Linked DNA regions of Schizosaccharomyces pombe. Changing the gene in region 1 together with any one later gene gives a genetic interaction. Each region holds a gene or a part of one and is shown on either strand. Other genes may lie near its edges.

Region 1 (8,275 bases):
TTACATCATCATTGCAAAACATGACATCACATGACATCAACGAACTCGCTCTGATGGACGAGCCGAAAATGCATGGGAGAAAGGGACGGGCTGCGACTGATTGGACCAAATGTGGACAGTGCTGGAAAGCGCGACGCGTAACTGATTTAATAAATTTTGCGACACGTAAACAAAAAGACGCGTTTAGGAGGAGGTGAACTGCTTGGAAGAATTAAGGAGATGGGAGAGGAATTGGGTTAATATGCGAGCTTTTTCTACTGCAGGCATGTCTTGAAAGACGCTGTAAGCGCTTTTTCCATGGGTGTCACGAATTCGCCCAAGTTTAGCACCGGCAGCCGAGCCTACAAGAACACCAGGCACATCAAACGTGATAAATCCCAACGCCGCACCAGCTAACGTACCTACGATGGTCCAAAAGGCATTGGCAATGCCTCTGGTCGATGTCTCATTCATCATTTCGTTGAACACCTGCTCGAATTGCGAATCGGAAAAGGATTGGCGAAATCCAAAACTTGGCCCTCCTTGTTGACTCTGACTTTGGGGTTGAGGGTTTGTGCGGGAAAAAAACGATTGTCTTGGTTTAGCAGAGGAAGAGGCACTTTCACGATCGTACTGAGCTCGTCGAGAATTGTCACTTAAGACGTAGTATGCTTCGTTCACCAGCTGAAATTGTTCAGTGGCTCGAGCACGAGCACTGGGCGATACTCTATCAGGGTGCGTCTCCAGAGCAGCCTTTTTATACGCATATTTTATCTCCTCAGCACTGGCTTTGGGGGTGATGTTGAGAATGGCATAGTAGTCTTTGAACATGGTAGTTGGAGGAATACGTATACCACACGATTTCAGCAATATGAGCCTCTCAAATATCGCAGTGGTGCAAAATTCGGTGTGCTGAATAACGAACTTAATAAACGTGGTATATCGCATAGGGACGGGTTATACCACGTTATATAGATACCGATAGGTTAATTTGTGTTATGCTAATTAGCGATGTTATGTGCGATATCTTATCGGAGTGTTGGATAGAAAGAAGACAAAGTATGGGAATTTCTTTGGCAAATAGGATTGAAAGGAAGCTCAAGTCAAATTTTTCACTTCCGGATGTTTATTTATATCTTTTGGATTTAGAGTCCTTGATAAAGATGACTTTGAATAAACAACAAAAGAACGGTTAAAAATACCTTTTTTAACCCAATTTTTGTCTTTCCCGCTATAGCGATATTTCTTGCATTTGTATGGTTGTATGATTACAGTCCTAACAATCCTTCATCGAGTTAGCTATATGGCATTATTTACTTTTAATTCTCTTAGACTACTTTCTTCTAAAGCGCAGCTAACGCAGTTTAATGTACACTGATAAAATGAAATGATCGGTTTATTGAGTTTTTACAAGGGTATGTCGAGCATGTGCGCCGTTATTCCTTCTCAAGCTATCTTGCTGTTGCTAGATCGCAGAGACTGATGAAATGGTTGTTGAAGATATTTGCTACGCTGGTGGTGCCAAAGTAGTTAGATTGAAGTTCGCTTGATATTCCTTTAAAATGTGATCGCTCGGTAATGCACAGACTACGACGTGGCAGTATGGCACAGCCAAAGCGTAGCAGCACTAGTGCCATTCCAACATTCTCGTTAGAGGAAGCTATTTCAGGGAGACTTATTCTTCTCTCATTAAATATTATTCAATAGTCTAAGTGATACCTCTGAACACCTTTTTATTGTGAACTTTACGATCTATCATTTTCACTTCTTATACCTCTTTATTATGGATATCGTAAAAAGTCAATAGTGATTTTTTAAAGGAAGGGCTCTAGTAATACGATATACTCCTTGCATCGCTAAACATACGGTAAATCAAACTATCGCATCCTATCCAATACGGTATTTGGTTATTGTGCGCTCGCGATAACATATCATCTGTGGTTATTCGTGTGCTTCTTTTGTCAGCAAGAACCTTTCCTCATACAAACAGTGAATCCTACAAAATGAGTATTATGGAATATAATGGTGGTTCATGCGTAGCCATGGCAGGTAAAAACTGCGTGGCTATTGCATCGGACTTGCGGTTGGGTGTTCAGTCAATTTCTTTGACCAACAACTTTCCTAAGGTGTTTGCGATGGGTGACAAAACGTATTTGGGACTGACGGGTCTTGCTACGGATGTTCAGACGCTTTATGAGTTATTTCGGTACAAAGTGAACCTTTACAAATTCCGCGAAGAGCGTCAAATTCAACCCAAGACATTTGCTAATTTGGTTTCTTCCACCCTTTACGAAAAAAGATTTGGTCCCTATTTCTCATTCCCAGTAGTTGCTGGTGTATCTAATGACAATACCCCGTTTATCTGTGGATTCGATTCCATTGGATGCATCGATTTTGCAGAGGATTTCATCGTTTCTGGAACCGCTACAGAACAACTTTATGGTATGTGTGAGTCTGTATACGAGCCCAATTTAGAGCCTGACGATCTCTTTGAGACTATCTCCCAAGCTTTACTTAACGCCCAAGATCGTGATTGTATTAGTGGATGGGGCTGTGTCGTTTATGTTATCACCGCAGACAAATGTATCAAACGACTTGTTAAGGGTCGCCAAGATTAAGCACTTTCACGATTACGATCTTTCGTTTTCATCTAGATTCTTTCATCATTTTAATGTAAGTCTTGCTACGAAATTTTAAAAAATTAAATTAGGATACATTTTTTCATGAGGCATGATTTAGACCAGTTTCTGACAATCCCTTCGGAATGGAAACTTCAATGAAGTTGTTCGTAGCAATATGATAACGATTATACTCGCCTTTTTTTGCTCAGCCTTTGTGGATATCCGAGCTTGAACTGTCATCCTTTCTTTTAGCTTGTGAGCATTTTCAATAATCAAAATTTTCCTAAATGGTTATTGTACAAGTAAAACTCTTATCGTATACAAGCAGGGTGTACTTTCTTCTGTACGTTTTATTAGTGCGAAATTTTATCCATTAAATACACACAATGCATAGATGCTTGTAAATAATTTTCGTACATGCAGTAGACTAAGACTAAGGATTGCTTGCTGTAAGCACACTTACAAGGATTTAAGAAATAAACTAACTTTTTCAATTGTTGAAGTCATTAAATTAGAAACTGTTTATATACAAGAAAACTTTATAATAAATCACTAAATCATATTTCAGCATAGTGTAACGTACAAAAAGGCCATTATAAAGTGCCCATTCAATGTTATGCTCCAAAGACAATATTTACTGGGTGATTGCTGCATGTCTAACAAATGCTGCTTCATGATTCCGTAATTCATCAGGAATATGTGCTTTCGCGCTTCGGCTTAATAACACGCGTAAATCATAATATACATCAGTATCCTCTGGTCCCAAAAACGTTATTGCTGTACCAGATTTTCCTGCACGACCTGTACGACCAATTCTATGGGTATAGTCTTCAATGCTTTTAGCCATGTTGTAATTCAATACCAAAGAGACATTAGGTATATCAATACCACGACCTGCAATGTCAGTTGCAACAAGAATATCAGCCGTCTTATTCCTTAACTGTTCGATAGCTCGCTCTCTCTGTTCTTGACTTTTACTGCCATGAAGAGTAACAGCATGCCAACCAATGGCATTTAATTGCTTCGCAATAGCCTCGATATTACGCTTGAGATTTACAAATATGATAATAGGAGGTGAAAATCGATTAGATTCCAAAATCTCCTCAACTCTTCTCCATTTTTTGCTATCGTCAGATATCATCTCAACACGCTGTTCAACGCGGTCAACTGCCTGGCCAATGTTTCCAATAGTTAACATCACTGGTTCAATTAAATAGCTCTTTGCCAAATTAGCAACACGTGGGGGTAAGGTCGCACTGAACATAATGGTTTGACGTCTTGACGAAGAGGAATTTGCAGTAGCAAGAATTGACCCATCCTTTTCAGAAGCATTTGAGGAAGGGAGTGATGACAAAATTTTATTAACATCATCTTCAAATCCCATGTCAAGCATCCTATCCGCCTCGTCCATTACAACATAAGTGCATTGGCTGAGAACAAATAGCCGTCTTTCAAGACAATCAAGAAGACGACCAGGAGTAGCTACAACTATATGAGCACCTTGACTCATTTGAAATGATTGCTCTTCAAAAGCATGACCACCAACGACAGAAACACACCGGAAACCCAAAGGTTCCGCAAACTTGTTGCCTTCCACTTGAATTTGCTGGGCCAATTCACGTGTTGGTGCTAAAACTACAGCATATGGGCCAAGATGCATGTTTGATTCGGTTAATGGGGGCAATTTTGATATGGCAATTATGAGAGGGATTATAAAGGCGGCAGTCTTACCACTACCAGTTTCGGCAATTCCAATTAAATCTTTACGCTGTAGTAAAACAGGTATGGCTGCCCTTTGAATAGAACTTGGTTCTTTATAGTTAACTTTCTTCAAAACTTTAAGCATCTCACTTGGTAAGCCTGCTTCTTCCCAATTTCTTAAAGGATTTGGTAAATCATCCCCTTTAATGGATATATTATAATCTTCCTTGAGGATTCTCCAGTCTCTGGGTTTCATGGCTTCCAATGGCTTTTCCCTCCATGGCACATCGTCCCAATCTATTTTTTTGGCTCGTTTTTCTTGAAGCTGAATCAACTCGTGTGCGCGAGCCTTATCCTGCTCCGTTCCTTGAAGCAAACGCTGAATCAAACCAGAATTACTTTTCGCTTTTCGAATCGACTGGTCATCAAATCCGCCTAATTTCCCCCTTCCAAATACAGCAATTGTAGCCTCAGGTGATGCCGAGGTTTCCGCATCCTTCATGGTATCGTCTGTGGCGTCCCAATCAAATACAAATTTTTTATCAGCATTTCTTCTTCTTTTTTTTACCACAGGAGGCTTTATACCCATGTACCTTTGACGAATGGTCATGCTGAATGCTTCGTCCGTTGCGGAGCTCTCTGTGCCACTGTTATTGCTAGATACAGAGGATACCTGGGATTTTTTTTCATCATCTGCTAATTCATTATTTTCTAAATGATTGGTAAAAGTCCTTTTTCTTAAATCTAATAATTTGTCATTCTGTTTTGCTTTCGCTTCTTCAACCTCTTTTTGTCGTCTTTCAAGGGCCAATCGAGCTCTTTCAGCTTTGGATAAAAACTTTGGTCTCGCCGCCTTCTCTTCCTTAACTCTTTTTTGCTGAACAAGCTGCTCCAGCGAAGGTATAGAGTCTTGCGCTGTCATGAACACGCTTCAAAAGAAAAAGACTTTTACGATACTCACAATTCTTCTATTTTTCTAGGATATCAATCCCAAATAATACAAAAGAAATGAATAGACCTGTCTTTAAACTAAACAATCCTTCAATGAACGTGTTGGTGTTATGCAAATGACAAAATCGTGTTTTAAATATACCTGCAGTATAGCGTGGTTGCCAAACTCATCGTAATTCAATATATGTTTTAAAAATCCAATGTAAATAAATGGCTCATTTTTATCAAGGTTCATTTTACATTAAAGAATGTTCATTCTTTGTAATAAAAACGATATAGATTCTAGTGAATTTGAAGGCATTTCTGGTTACTTACAGAAATTGTTCTAAAAATTGACTGGGAAACCCATTTGGCTGCTAGAAAAGGCGCATTAAATTGCTTTATAAATCCCAATTGTTTTACAAATTCATTTAATTCTTTTTACTCTTATTTCAACAAGTTTATGAAATTCATTCAAACAAACTATGATCATTCTTTCAAATCAACGTTTTACTACTAGGCTGACAGTTTCAATATTTCAATGTTCTCAACTTATTGTAGTACTTAATGAGAGAGAGAAATTAGTTTATCTTCAAGATATAAACAAATCCTCAATTTTCTTATTGAAATGAATCTTGATCGTAATATTCGATGTAACAGTTGTCTCCATATAGTACTTTACTGGTAATATCAACACCTCCTACAAACGCTTTCCTCTAAACCGATTAAAGTTGAAATTACTGGAGGTTGTTAATTCTTAAACATTTAAAAAACGCTTTCCTAATAAAAATACTTGAGAATCTGATGTTTTGGTTATAAGAGTACTTAGCAATCTAACGATTTTTTGCAATTGTTGCTATTTAGCAAATCCTCTGTTAATGAAAAACATCATTTCTGTTGGCTAACTGTTTGTTGATTTTTAATGTATATAATGTCGAAAAAATGTTATGATACGTCGGAAAAGATTGATCGTGAGCAAGAATGTGTTGAAGTGAATTATCAACATCGGAATTTTGAAAGTATTTTGGAAATATTTTCAGTTTTATTCATTCCTTTCTTATGCAACTCTGGCAAAAAGTTCCTCCAAATTTCAAATGCGTCCTTTTTTTTACCTGCATGCTTTTATTTATTGGGTTCGTCTAGCATAATCCAGCTATATGAGTACGATTTTACGAACAATTAAATTTTTAAACTTAAGTCAACTAACTCATTATTTAGGCCGTTATTGTGGTTATCATCGTTTCCCTTTTGTATCCTCTATGTCGGCTTTGGAGAAAACTCTGTCTTGTATCATGAGATGTACACGGTATGTCTTTACAACGCTCTTTTGTCCTTAACACAAAGATGGAAATGGCTCTCTATTGTTTTAGATGGACTGGGTAATTCGAGTGTTAATTTAAAACTTCACGAAACGGTCATCCTTGCCTTTCTTGAAATTACACAAAACAGTTTTACCTTCATTGAAGGCATTTTAATTTGTACCGGACTTACAGGTCTTTGTTTTGCTACATTTTCGTATGAAGTATCTCCTGTAGTTTCAGTGCTATCGGGAGTTTTACTCATTTCCTTACCTACACTCATTTTGTTAAACCTTTGCATATTAAAGCTTGCTGCTAAATTACATTTATCGGCACTCTTTACTACTTGTTTAATTTATTTCTTTAGCGCTTTGCTCGTATTTTTAGTGTCCAGGTCATGGGTTGCTGGGCAACTTGGACAAGCACCTGAAGTATGGTTGTTCAACCAAATTTTTTCGCATAGGAATTCCCTAACGAGGATTAAAATAATTATTTGGTGGATAATTTGCCTTGGTTGTTTTATTTTTATTCTTCTGCGAAGCAACCGTAATAATCCACTTGGCAAATACTTTACCACTGAAGATGAAGTGCTGAACTTTCGTAGAAAGACATATCATGCTTTGGTTGTCTTTTTATTTCTTCCGGTTTGTTGCTTAGATCCTCATTTTCTCCACCTGTCTTTTTCGGGAGTTTTATTCATATTTCTGTTTGTTGAAGGTATACGCATACTTCGTCTTAAGCCATTTGGAAAAATGATCCATGAATTTTTATGGGAGTATACCGATAACAGGGATCACAAGGGCCCCTTGATTATTTCCCATATATATCTTTTAATTGGTTGTGCAATTCCTATTTGGCTTTCGAATGCTTTAAAAGGTCCTGTTGCGTCGGTTGAATTACTGGTTGGTGTTTTATGTTTAGGGTGTGGAGATTCTATGGCTAGCATAATTGGGAAAAGGTTCGGAAAACATAGGATCTCAAAAACGAATAAAAGTATTGAGGGGGTATTTGCCTTTTCAATCTCAGTGTTTCTCGTTTTACACTTGACGCAAGCTTTTCATGTGTGTCCTTCAGTAACGTTTTGGAAAACGCTGTTTATGTCCTTATGTACGGCCATTTTGGAAGGTGTCTCAACGGAGAATGACAATCTCATACTTCCAATGTACATGTGGGTATTGTATCAAGCCTTGGATTAAGAATGTTTAATTCCATAAAATATTTTGCAACATCAAAGTAAAATATCTCATAACTCTGATGCTTTGCAAATGACAAACAAAAGAAAAATACATATATGTGCTTATATATGAAAAAATAAACCAAAGATGTAATTCTTTGCATATTCTCTTTGTTACTAATTCGACGTAAATAGATTTCCTTTAATAAAATAAAAAGAAAAATTTTACGTATTGCCAGGCCTATCATTAAATCATAATCACCTTAACAACAGCATCCACTGAGAATACTGTTTACAAAAAACCAACGTGAGCAAAAAAAAGATGGCAGATGTGACTATGAAACGAATAAAACTAAAACGGACTATAAATTTCGGTAAAAATGATATTACAAAATATATGTATATATAGTTTTGCTATTCAATCAGTCATATATTTAAAGGTAATTGACTATTACAGTTCGCATATTTAGGAAGATCAAAATATTCATTTATTGAGAAATGTATAACAACGAGTATCTGAGCGGATATCGTGGCACAATTTTAAGTAGAATAGGTTGCTTCGAAACGAACAG
Region 2 (8,935 bases), on another chromosome or scaffold:
GTAAAAAAGGCTTGATTTCAGGAAAGATTTGATATAGTTGATGTATCTCGAATTACTTTATTTTGAAAAAAAGCAATGAATGCGATATTGCAAGAGAAATCATTCATCAAAATTTTTTCGTTATACAGAACAACAGCACAGTTAGTATTTCTTGATAATACTGATTACAATTAATATGGTTTTTTTTAGAACTAAAATTGATTACTAATTCATTCTTTGGTCTAATTTCTATATCGTTTTTCGAAAATTACTACTCCATTAATGTTTCTCTAGCTGTTTTATTTACTTACTTTAAATATTTCTCACTATAGCACGTGAGTGTAACGAGGTAACAAAATTGACTATATGAAACGAGAGTTAGTTTCAAAGAAAAGGAAAAGCAGGTAATTCTTTTACGGTCATTTATCATTGATTTTTTAGGTATAAAAAAATTTTGTGTCGAAGAGTTGTGAAATTTTTAATAGATTACTCAACACATGATTTTCTAGATGAGAACTGTAAAGTGTGTTCTTGGTTGTGAAAAGAAAACATATAACGATGAATAAAGAAAAATAAAAATCTCGCTGTCCTATTTAATGTACTTCCATTTTTCGCGTTTTAATATGTTATAAACACATATCGAATTTAAAAGTGTTGTAGAGTTGTTTTGTTATAGTTTGTTACATTACTCCAACTTGCTACTTTCTAAAACGTTCTGTCCATATACCGTACTGCAAACCTCACCACCGTAATGCGCAAAAGTGCATATTTGGACACAAGCGATGTCAACGGTTGCTACACACTTCTTCCCCAACCACTCACATCCTTCCAGAAATTTGAGGATGAAGCAGGGTTAGGGTTTTAAAAGGTATATATACCGATCAGACGCCTTCATAAGCCAACGTTCTACTTCCATGAGTCTGAAGGAGCCACATCAAATTAATATGCTAGGACGCCAAAGTAGTGGAGACAAGAGGTTTATTGATTGATTATCTGATGTTGAAAGGCTTAGGTTCTTATCGTAAATGGCTTGTATTTTGTGTGTTACATTTATTGATATTAGGATGGTTCTCCTTCAGGCTCTTGGAAAGCGTTCGCCTGTATCTGTGTTGTATTTTTTGGAGAGATTCTAGTCTGATTCTAGTCGTTTGATTGTACAGTATGTCTGTCGTGTATGGTTGCTTTATTGTTTTTCTGGGATTAAGTCATCTTGGTGCAGTAATTGGTACTGTGTTGGTAGAAAAACCTACCATATTCCTTTTTGCGCTTGCTGTGGTATCTTTTTGACTATAGTTTGAGATTAACTGGGTGTTAAAGCTTAGTAGGGGGTAAATCCCGTACGCATACTGAAACCTTGAACTCAAACTGAATCTTTGTCGTTCTTTAAGTGCCTTGTTAAACTTGTTTGTAAAGGTATGTTCGCCGTATGCTGATTGATGTCTGAGTACAACGAAGCTGTTCTGATGATATTATTATGTCTTCTTTACCCGTCCTATCGACTATGACGATAACTTTGTCTCCACTATAGGTGGAGACCATACTTGCCAGTATCTTCGATGTCTGAATTGTTTTCGTTGTTCCAGTATCTTAGTAATCTCTGTATTGTGTATAATCTTTCAGTGTACTAACTTCTTTTTTAGGTGTATTTGTGCGAAACTTTCAAATTTCTTGCTATGCTTAAACTCGCGAACTAAACGTGTATGTTCTGTATGGTGAAAATAATGTGTGTTTTTCGTGTAGCTACTCCTGTACGTACGAGTTATGGTGGAGATTGGACTTTACATCCTTTTAGTTATAAACATATATAGTGCTGTATTGCTTTTTGGATTGTTCGGCGAAGGTTTTTTTTTGCATTGATCAACAGGTGATGAAATTTCCATTGAACATTCGCAGTTTCCCCGGAGCGGCATACGAACCCAATTTTGCCGCAGATGTCGTGCATAGTCCTTCCTTTGGATGTCTGATGTTGATCTTGCAAATTTTTCCTTTTTTTTTTTTTAATTAAATTTTTTTGTGTTGTGTTTGGCTTGTAGTTGTAGTGGTGATAAAGGTTGATTATCATGTTCTCCAATATAGAGTAGTTAAACTTTTTCTTGTTGTGATGGAAATTGTAGTCTGGTTGATTTATTGAATTCAGTCTATTTAGAATTGCTTGAAAATACTCTTAATAAAATTGTTGCAATGCGTAGAATGGCAATTAACTCTACATAGGTTAAGTAGTCTTTCTATAAAGTAAATAAATCATCTCTAAAAATTTGAAAGCATGTTTAGACAATATACATACAGAAACGCATCAGATTAACTAGAATGAAGACAAAAATATTAAACGTTTGGAAAATTATCTACAAATTAAATGCCAGATTTATCATCCGTATTTTCTAAAGACGCATCACTGTCCCCAGTTCGATCCAATAAATTTGAGATCTCTTTTAGAAACGAGGTTTCTGTTGTAGGAGCCAGCAAAACAGCGAGGAGAGTTTCACTTTTGGGGAAAGAAGATAATGAAATATTTCCAGCTTCCACTAAGCTCAAAAGTCGACGCACCGTAGATATGCCACTCTGAATCACATAACGAAAAGGATTCGTAGTAGGATACTGCGATGCTACACGTGATGGTGGATTAAGGGAAGGATGACCTGATAATAGTATGAGTAGGCGTAACATGGAAACAAAAAATCCCTCGCCTATATTACACCAATTTGCCGCTTGTTCCGATTGTTTAACATAGGAAACGGTAGCTGCTAAACAAAAAAATGACTGCTGCAATAAGGGTAACCTTCGCTCGCATATTTTAAGGCAGTGGCGGTTAAATTTTGGGACAACAGAAGCAAGAAGTAGAAAAAGGGAGTCTAAAAATTTTGGATTGTTATCAAAAATAGCTTGAAAGTTTGTCTTGTTGTTAGCATCTTTGGCTAGTAATTTGGCATAGGCATTAATGGCGGGACCAGCATAGGGATGGGTAGCAGGTGTGTAACTAGGTATAGAGGTTGGAAGGGTGTCATTTAAAATAGTTTTACTCTTCTTTCTGTTAAATGGAGAAAAAGACAAAATAAATAGTAAAACGTGACGAGCAACGTCGACATTCGGTAGAATGAAATTTTGAGAAAGTTGACAAAGTACGATTAATACATCTTTATGCAAATCCAAGGTATTTCTTGATGAACGTAGAAGGGAAGTGGCATGAAAATTAAGACTTTTGACTACACGAATGAGTAGAGGAAAAAAATCTGGATTTTGTACCAAAACGTTTTGGTTGGCCTCAAAGTGAGAGAGATTTCTAAAAATAACGAAAACAGCTAACAAATTTTGCTCCGAATTATGAACATCAATAGCATTGATGCTATCTTTTGTTTTGTTTTCGCTTAGTGAATTTGAAAAGTCTTCTCTGGAGAACTGCGATATCTCTACGCAACAATTGTAAAGAAGTTGTCTATAAGAAGGACGTTTATCGGCGATTTCCATTAAATCCTCATTAGGAAGAACAGATAGCAGATTATCAAGGCACTGAGTTGCAACGTCAATCAACGCATCAACTACATCCTGGCACTCACTTAACGGAAACATCCATTTTTGATCATTTGTTAATATAAGTAAAACGTTCATTGCATACGTTATTTCTTTTTCCAAAGTAGATTGCAGGCTCATGCACAAGGCTTGAATGTTTACAGTCCCCAGATCTACGATTGAAGGCATCTGAAGCCGAAGCAAAGATTCATCGAGCCTATACGTGGCCGCGACATTCAAGGGATAACCCAACATAGGATCGATGGGCTTTTTTATCGGTTGATAAGCAACGGGTTCGGCAGAATCAACAGGAGCTGCCGAAGAAGAAGTTTGAACGGTGGGCGGAGTGGGTCGAGTCGGAGCAGAAGGGTATGGTGGAGCATTTCTTTCAGAACTAACTGTGGTAGGAGCAGCTGGAGAGAAACGATTAGCGGTGAATGCTGGGGAGGGTGACTTTGAGTGAAGTGATCCATGCATAGAACCATTGGCATGTACAGCTTCTGGGGTGGTTTGGACCGGCTTTTGTGGATAGTTTTTTGGTCTGCTTTGAACATTCGCAGAATGATTAGCTTTTGCTTGTTGAAGTGATTTTTGTTGCTGTTGAGCAGCAAGCCATGCTTCTTCATATGGAAGCAGATAGGAATTGTAATATTGAATTAGAAGGGAAATAGCATCAGGAGATGGAAACCCCAAGGAAGCAGAAATTTTTGGCCAAAAATTATGAGCTGAGACTTGTCGAGATCCACCGGCACGCATAACCAAGGCGTACAGCATCATTAAATTAATAGGCGTATTATTTATTTGAGGATAAGATTTGATTGGCGTCCCCCGCTTTTCCATAAAAGAAATAAGGCTAACCATGAATTTGTCAAAACTAGCAGCATAAGCAGGCGTTAGTTGATTAGCATTACCAGAGGGAGTATTTGGGGAAGGTGCAGGTTGAGGAGTTTGTCTTACAGCTGGGTGGGCATTGATGCCAATTTGATTAGGAGGAATTTGTTGAGAGAGTAAGGCCTCTCTGCTTTGCATTTGTCGTTGATAAAGTTGTTGCTGCTGTTGCTGTTGTTGTTGCTGCTGCATTGCAGCCTCTTTTTCTTGTTGAAACGGGATCCGACTTGAAGGCATCATGGGACTAGAGTATTTCACAGATCCAGAGCCATTCCATGCACCGTTAGAGGCGAAATCAAATGATTGATTTGGCAAATTACGTTGAGTTGATGGAGATTGTCGGAAGGGCTGTGAATGAGCCAAATTGTTAGGCTCATTCTCGGAAGTATTCATCATGTTTGCATTTCCATATTCTGCTGCATACATCCCTTGGCTTGTCGAAAAGCGTTGAGGATACGCAGGTTGTTCTTCCTGAGTATTATAACTTTGACCTTGCGTGGGATATGATACTGCGGTTGGATAATCACTCGCAGGAACAAACCCTTGATTATTCATGATTCCTCATACTAAATCAAACAAAGAGTAAAGGGACCTTAAAATACACGTTTCAATATATTAACGTCTAAGGCGCTTGGCAGCTGAAAGTGCTTGAAAAGCAGACGAAGTGCATATAACGAGTTGTTTAGTGCTGCCTTTAAGAACCTAATCTGTGTGTTTCAGAAAATGCTTAAATTCCTAAAAAATCTTTACACTCATTCCTTTAAATCTCGCAAACGTGATTTCTTGCCTTTGCAGTGTCTCTTATTTCCAAGTCAATGACAATTGTTAGCATTGGGAAGCATTTATCGATTAGTCAGGTATCTAAAATTTTAAAAACAAAATAATATCTTATTCCTCTTGTAATAGAAACAATATTTATTAACTTGCTCTGTTAGTAGACTTGGCGAAACTGTAAACAATCACGAGTACAACATCTTCTTCTTGCGGAAACAGATATTTTTTTAATAAATTATTTTTTTTTTTTTTAAAATAGTAAAAGCATATGAGTTAACATATTCGAGATCCCGTTATCCTCCTTTTCTTTCTTTTTTTTTTTTTTTTTTTTTTGAAAGGAGCAATCAAAATTGACACATTAATTCAAATTTATCTGGTCTAACCTTTTTTTTATTTTTTATTCATTATTTTTCCTTCTTTCTTTCTGGCTACATAAGACTCGACGCAATGTCATTTTATAAATTTCATTGTTTTCTATAAACGTGCTTTCATATGTGTAAACCTATTGATGAATGAAACAAGATAGTAGAATATGGTAATTTCTATTATCAAGCAATTGGATTTAGGTTGTTGAACTCTATGGACAAGGGCTTGTACGTGTAAAATATATATGTTTATGACTTAATTATTTACTTTTGCAAATCTATGGTTTCAAGTCAACTCGCAAAAGGAATATCCGATTCAAGAAGGAAAAAAACTAAATACTACAATAAAAAAAGGTTTGTAGTATTTGAGATAAAGATGGAGATGCTATATTGCACATGTAGAATTTGATGGCATAAACAAGAATTAGATTTGAAACAAAAGTCAACTAACACAACTTTCAAGTCCACGTATAAAGCGATTTCTATTCTGACGGTTCATAAAATGTTTAATGAGCTTGCAAACTAAAACCAAGTAATTCGGAAATTAGGTATTTACAAGCTGATAATTAAAATGTGAACCCTTGAATTATTGATAATGAATTATAGATTTTATTAGTTTTAATTCCTTTTTTAAGTAATTTATCAAGTATAGTCCAACTATTTATTTACAAATATTGGTATATTAGGGTGTTTTAATAGAAAAAAAAACAAAAATTAAGCGAAGAAAAGTATTACATTAACAAGCCTGAAAAAGAAGCAAACAAACTAATTAAAAGATGTTAACTATATCAAACTTAAGAGAAAATTATTTAATAAATAAAACCGGAATTAAAAATTCTCTATAACGATGTTAGAGAAATTGTTCTAGTTACGTCGGTGTCCTTCAAAATCTGCCCTTAACCACAATCCCTGTAGGAAAACTATGGATGACATTCCAACTCTTCTTGCGAGAACATTAAACCCTACGACTTCCAAAAGTGGTAAGATACCCCAACAGAGTGGATAAAGCAAATTTACTAACTGATATAGCTGAGGAAGCACTGAAAGTATGGGAATTACAAGATAGTTCTTTTGCACTAAAACTCCTCAATATTGTCGCTGAGGATACAGTAGACATCAATATTAAGCTGGCCGCTTCATTGTATTTCAAAAATTACATTAAAAAACATTGGGATTCTGAGGAAGGTGCTTCTATTCGTATCAGCGATGAGGTGGCAGAATTGATCAAACGCGAAATAATCAACTTGATGCTGAAAAGTACTACCATTATTCAAGTTCAGCTAGGTGAAGTAATTGGTTATATTGCCAACTTTGATTTCCCTGATCGGTGGGACACTCTTCTCCCCGATCTGATATCTAAATTGTCTGCTGTTGACATGAACACGAATATTGCTGTACTTTCTACTGCACATGCGATTTTTAAGCGCTGGAGACCTTTATTCCGTAGCGATGCACTTTTTTTGGAGATCAAATATGTGTTGGATCGTTTTTGCGAACCATTTCTCGCTCTCTTCGTGCAAACCAACAACTTATTGCGTAACGGTCCACAAGATGCAGAGTCTCTTAACAGTTTATTTCAGGTTATCCTTTTGGAGTGTAAACTTTTTTATGATTTGAATTGCCAAGACATTCCGGAATTCTTTGAAGATCATATGAGCGAATTCATGACCGCCTTCTTAAACTACTTTACCTACACTAACCCCAGCTTGGAGGGTGACGAAGGAGAGACAAATGTCCTTATTAAAGTTAAAGCAAGTATTTGTGAAATCGTCGAGCTATATACCCTTCGATACGAAGAGGTGTTTACCATGTTGTATGACTTCGTCAACGTAACATGGACACTTTTGACAACCTTGACTCCTGATGAAAAATACGATGGTTTAGTTGGTAAGGCTATGGCATTTTTGACATCCGTCATTAGAATTCGCAAGCATGCCGAGTTTTTCCAGCAAGACCAAGTTTTACAACAATTCATTGAACTCGTCGTTCTTCCTAATATATGTTTGCGGGAATCTGATGAAGAATTATTTGAAGACGATCCTTTAGAATATGTCCGCCGTGATCTTGAAGGTTCGAACAGTGATTCTCGCGCCAGATCCGCAATCGTTCTTGTTCGTGGACTTTTGGATCACTTTGATCAAAAAATTACGAGTGTAGTCTCAACTCACATCAATGCTAATCTTCAACAATTCTCAACAAATCCTTCTCTTGAATGGAATAAAAAATACGTAGCGCTTCAGCTCTTTTCGGCTATTGCTATAAAGGGTCAATCCACAAGACTCGGCGTTACATCTATTAATTTGATGGTAGACGTTGTTGCTTTTTTCGAGAATAATATTAAGCCGGATCTTTTACAACCTGCTGGCGTCATTCATCCCATGGTTCTTGCCGAGGATATTAAATATGTATTTACATTTCGCAACCAGCTAAATTCCCAACAGCTTATTGACATTTTCCCTACAATTTTACGCTTTTTGGAAATGCCCAGCTTTGTCGTTTACACATACGCTGCAATAGCATTAGATCAGTTGCTGACTGTTCGTCATAATCATGTTCATATCTTTACAAGTTTACTAATTGCTCCACACATATTACCCGCTCTAAATCAACTTTTCCTAATTGTGGAATCTGCATCCACACCACAAAAACTTGCCGAAAATGATTATCTAATGAAAGCAGTAATGCGAATTATTATTATGTCTCAAGAAGCCATTCTTCCAGCTGCTAGCCTTCTTCTTCAGCACCTCACAAAAATTACGGAAGAGGTTAGCAAGAATCCTTCCAATCCAAAATTTAACCACTATCTCTTCGAATCTATTGGTGCACTTATTCGTAGTTTATCTAAATCTGGTCCCCAAACCGTCTCTCAACTGGAAAATGCCCTACTTCCAGTCTTTCAAAATGTGCTTATAGAAGATGTTACTGAGTTTATTCCGTATGTCCTACAACTGCTATCTCAATTAGTTGAAGCTAGTGGCAATGAACCTCTTCCTGACTTTGTTGTCAATCTCATACAGCCGTGTTTATCTCCAGCTTTATGGGATTCAAAGGGTAATATACCTGCCTTAGTTCGCCTATTACGGGCAATGATATTTCGTGGTCCTCAGATATTTATTTCCAATAAGTTTGTTGAACCGGTTTTGGGAATTTTCCAAAAATTGATTTCTTCAAAGGTTAATGATCATTTTGGGTTTGATCTCTTGGACCGAGTTTTCACAGTTTTCAATGCTAACATACTTGCGCCTTATATCAACCACATATTCTTTTTGCTGTTAAGCAGATTAAAAAACTCGAGGACTGAGCGTTTCGTTCTGCGATGCACGATTTTCTTCTTTTTTGTTGCTTCTGAGCAAACGGGTACTTGCGGCCCAGATAATTTGATCCAAGGTGTTGATGCAGTCCAGTCTGGAGTATTTGGCCAATTG

The links. A genetic interaction does not mean that the proteins touch.
Region 2: mutations in prp28 (region 1) and sol1 together harm fitness more than expected from each alone (negative genetic interaction), as found in Schizosaccharomyces pombe (one large-scale study listed by BioGRID).

The regions. Positions count from the first base shown.
Region 1 is NC_003421.2:854,101-862,375, reverse strand, and holds prp28 (U5 snRNP-associated protein Prp28), read right to left. Parts: upstream 5,360-8,275; 5' UTR 5,224-5,359; coding exon 3,235-5,223; 3' UTR 3,084-3,234; downstream 1-3,083. Other genes in the region: SPOM_SPCC63.13 (DNAJ (Hsp40) chaperone family protein), read right to left, coding at 184-810; proteasome core particle subunit beta 3 Pup3, read left to right, coding at 1,983-2,597; dolichol kinase Sec59, read left to right, coding at 6,154-6,392, 6,450-7,725. UniProt on the Schizosaccharomyces pombe protein: ATP-dependent RNA helicase involved in mRNA splicing. May destabilize the U1/5'-splice site duplex to permit an effective competition for the 5'-splice site by the U6 snRNA, resulting in the switch between U1 and U6 at the 5'-splice site.
Region 2 is NC_003423.3:1,306,799-1,315,733, forward strand, and holds sol1 (SWI/SNF complex subunit Sol1), read right to left. Parts: upstream 5,005-8,935; 5' UTR 4,927-5,004; coding exon 2,329-4,926; 3' UTR 2,274-2,328; downstream 1-2,273. Other genes in the region: karyopherin/importin beta family nuclear export signal receptor Kap109, read left to right, coding at 6,433-6,490, 6,540-8,935.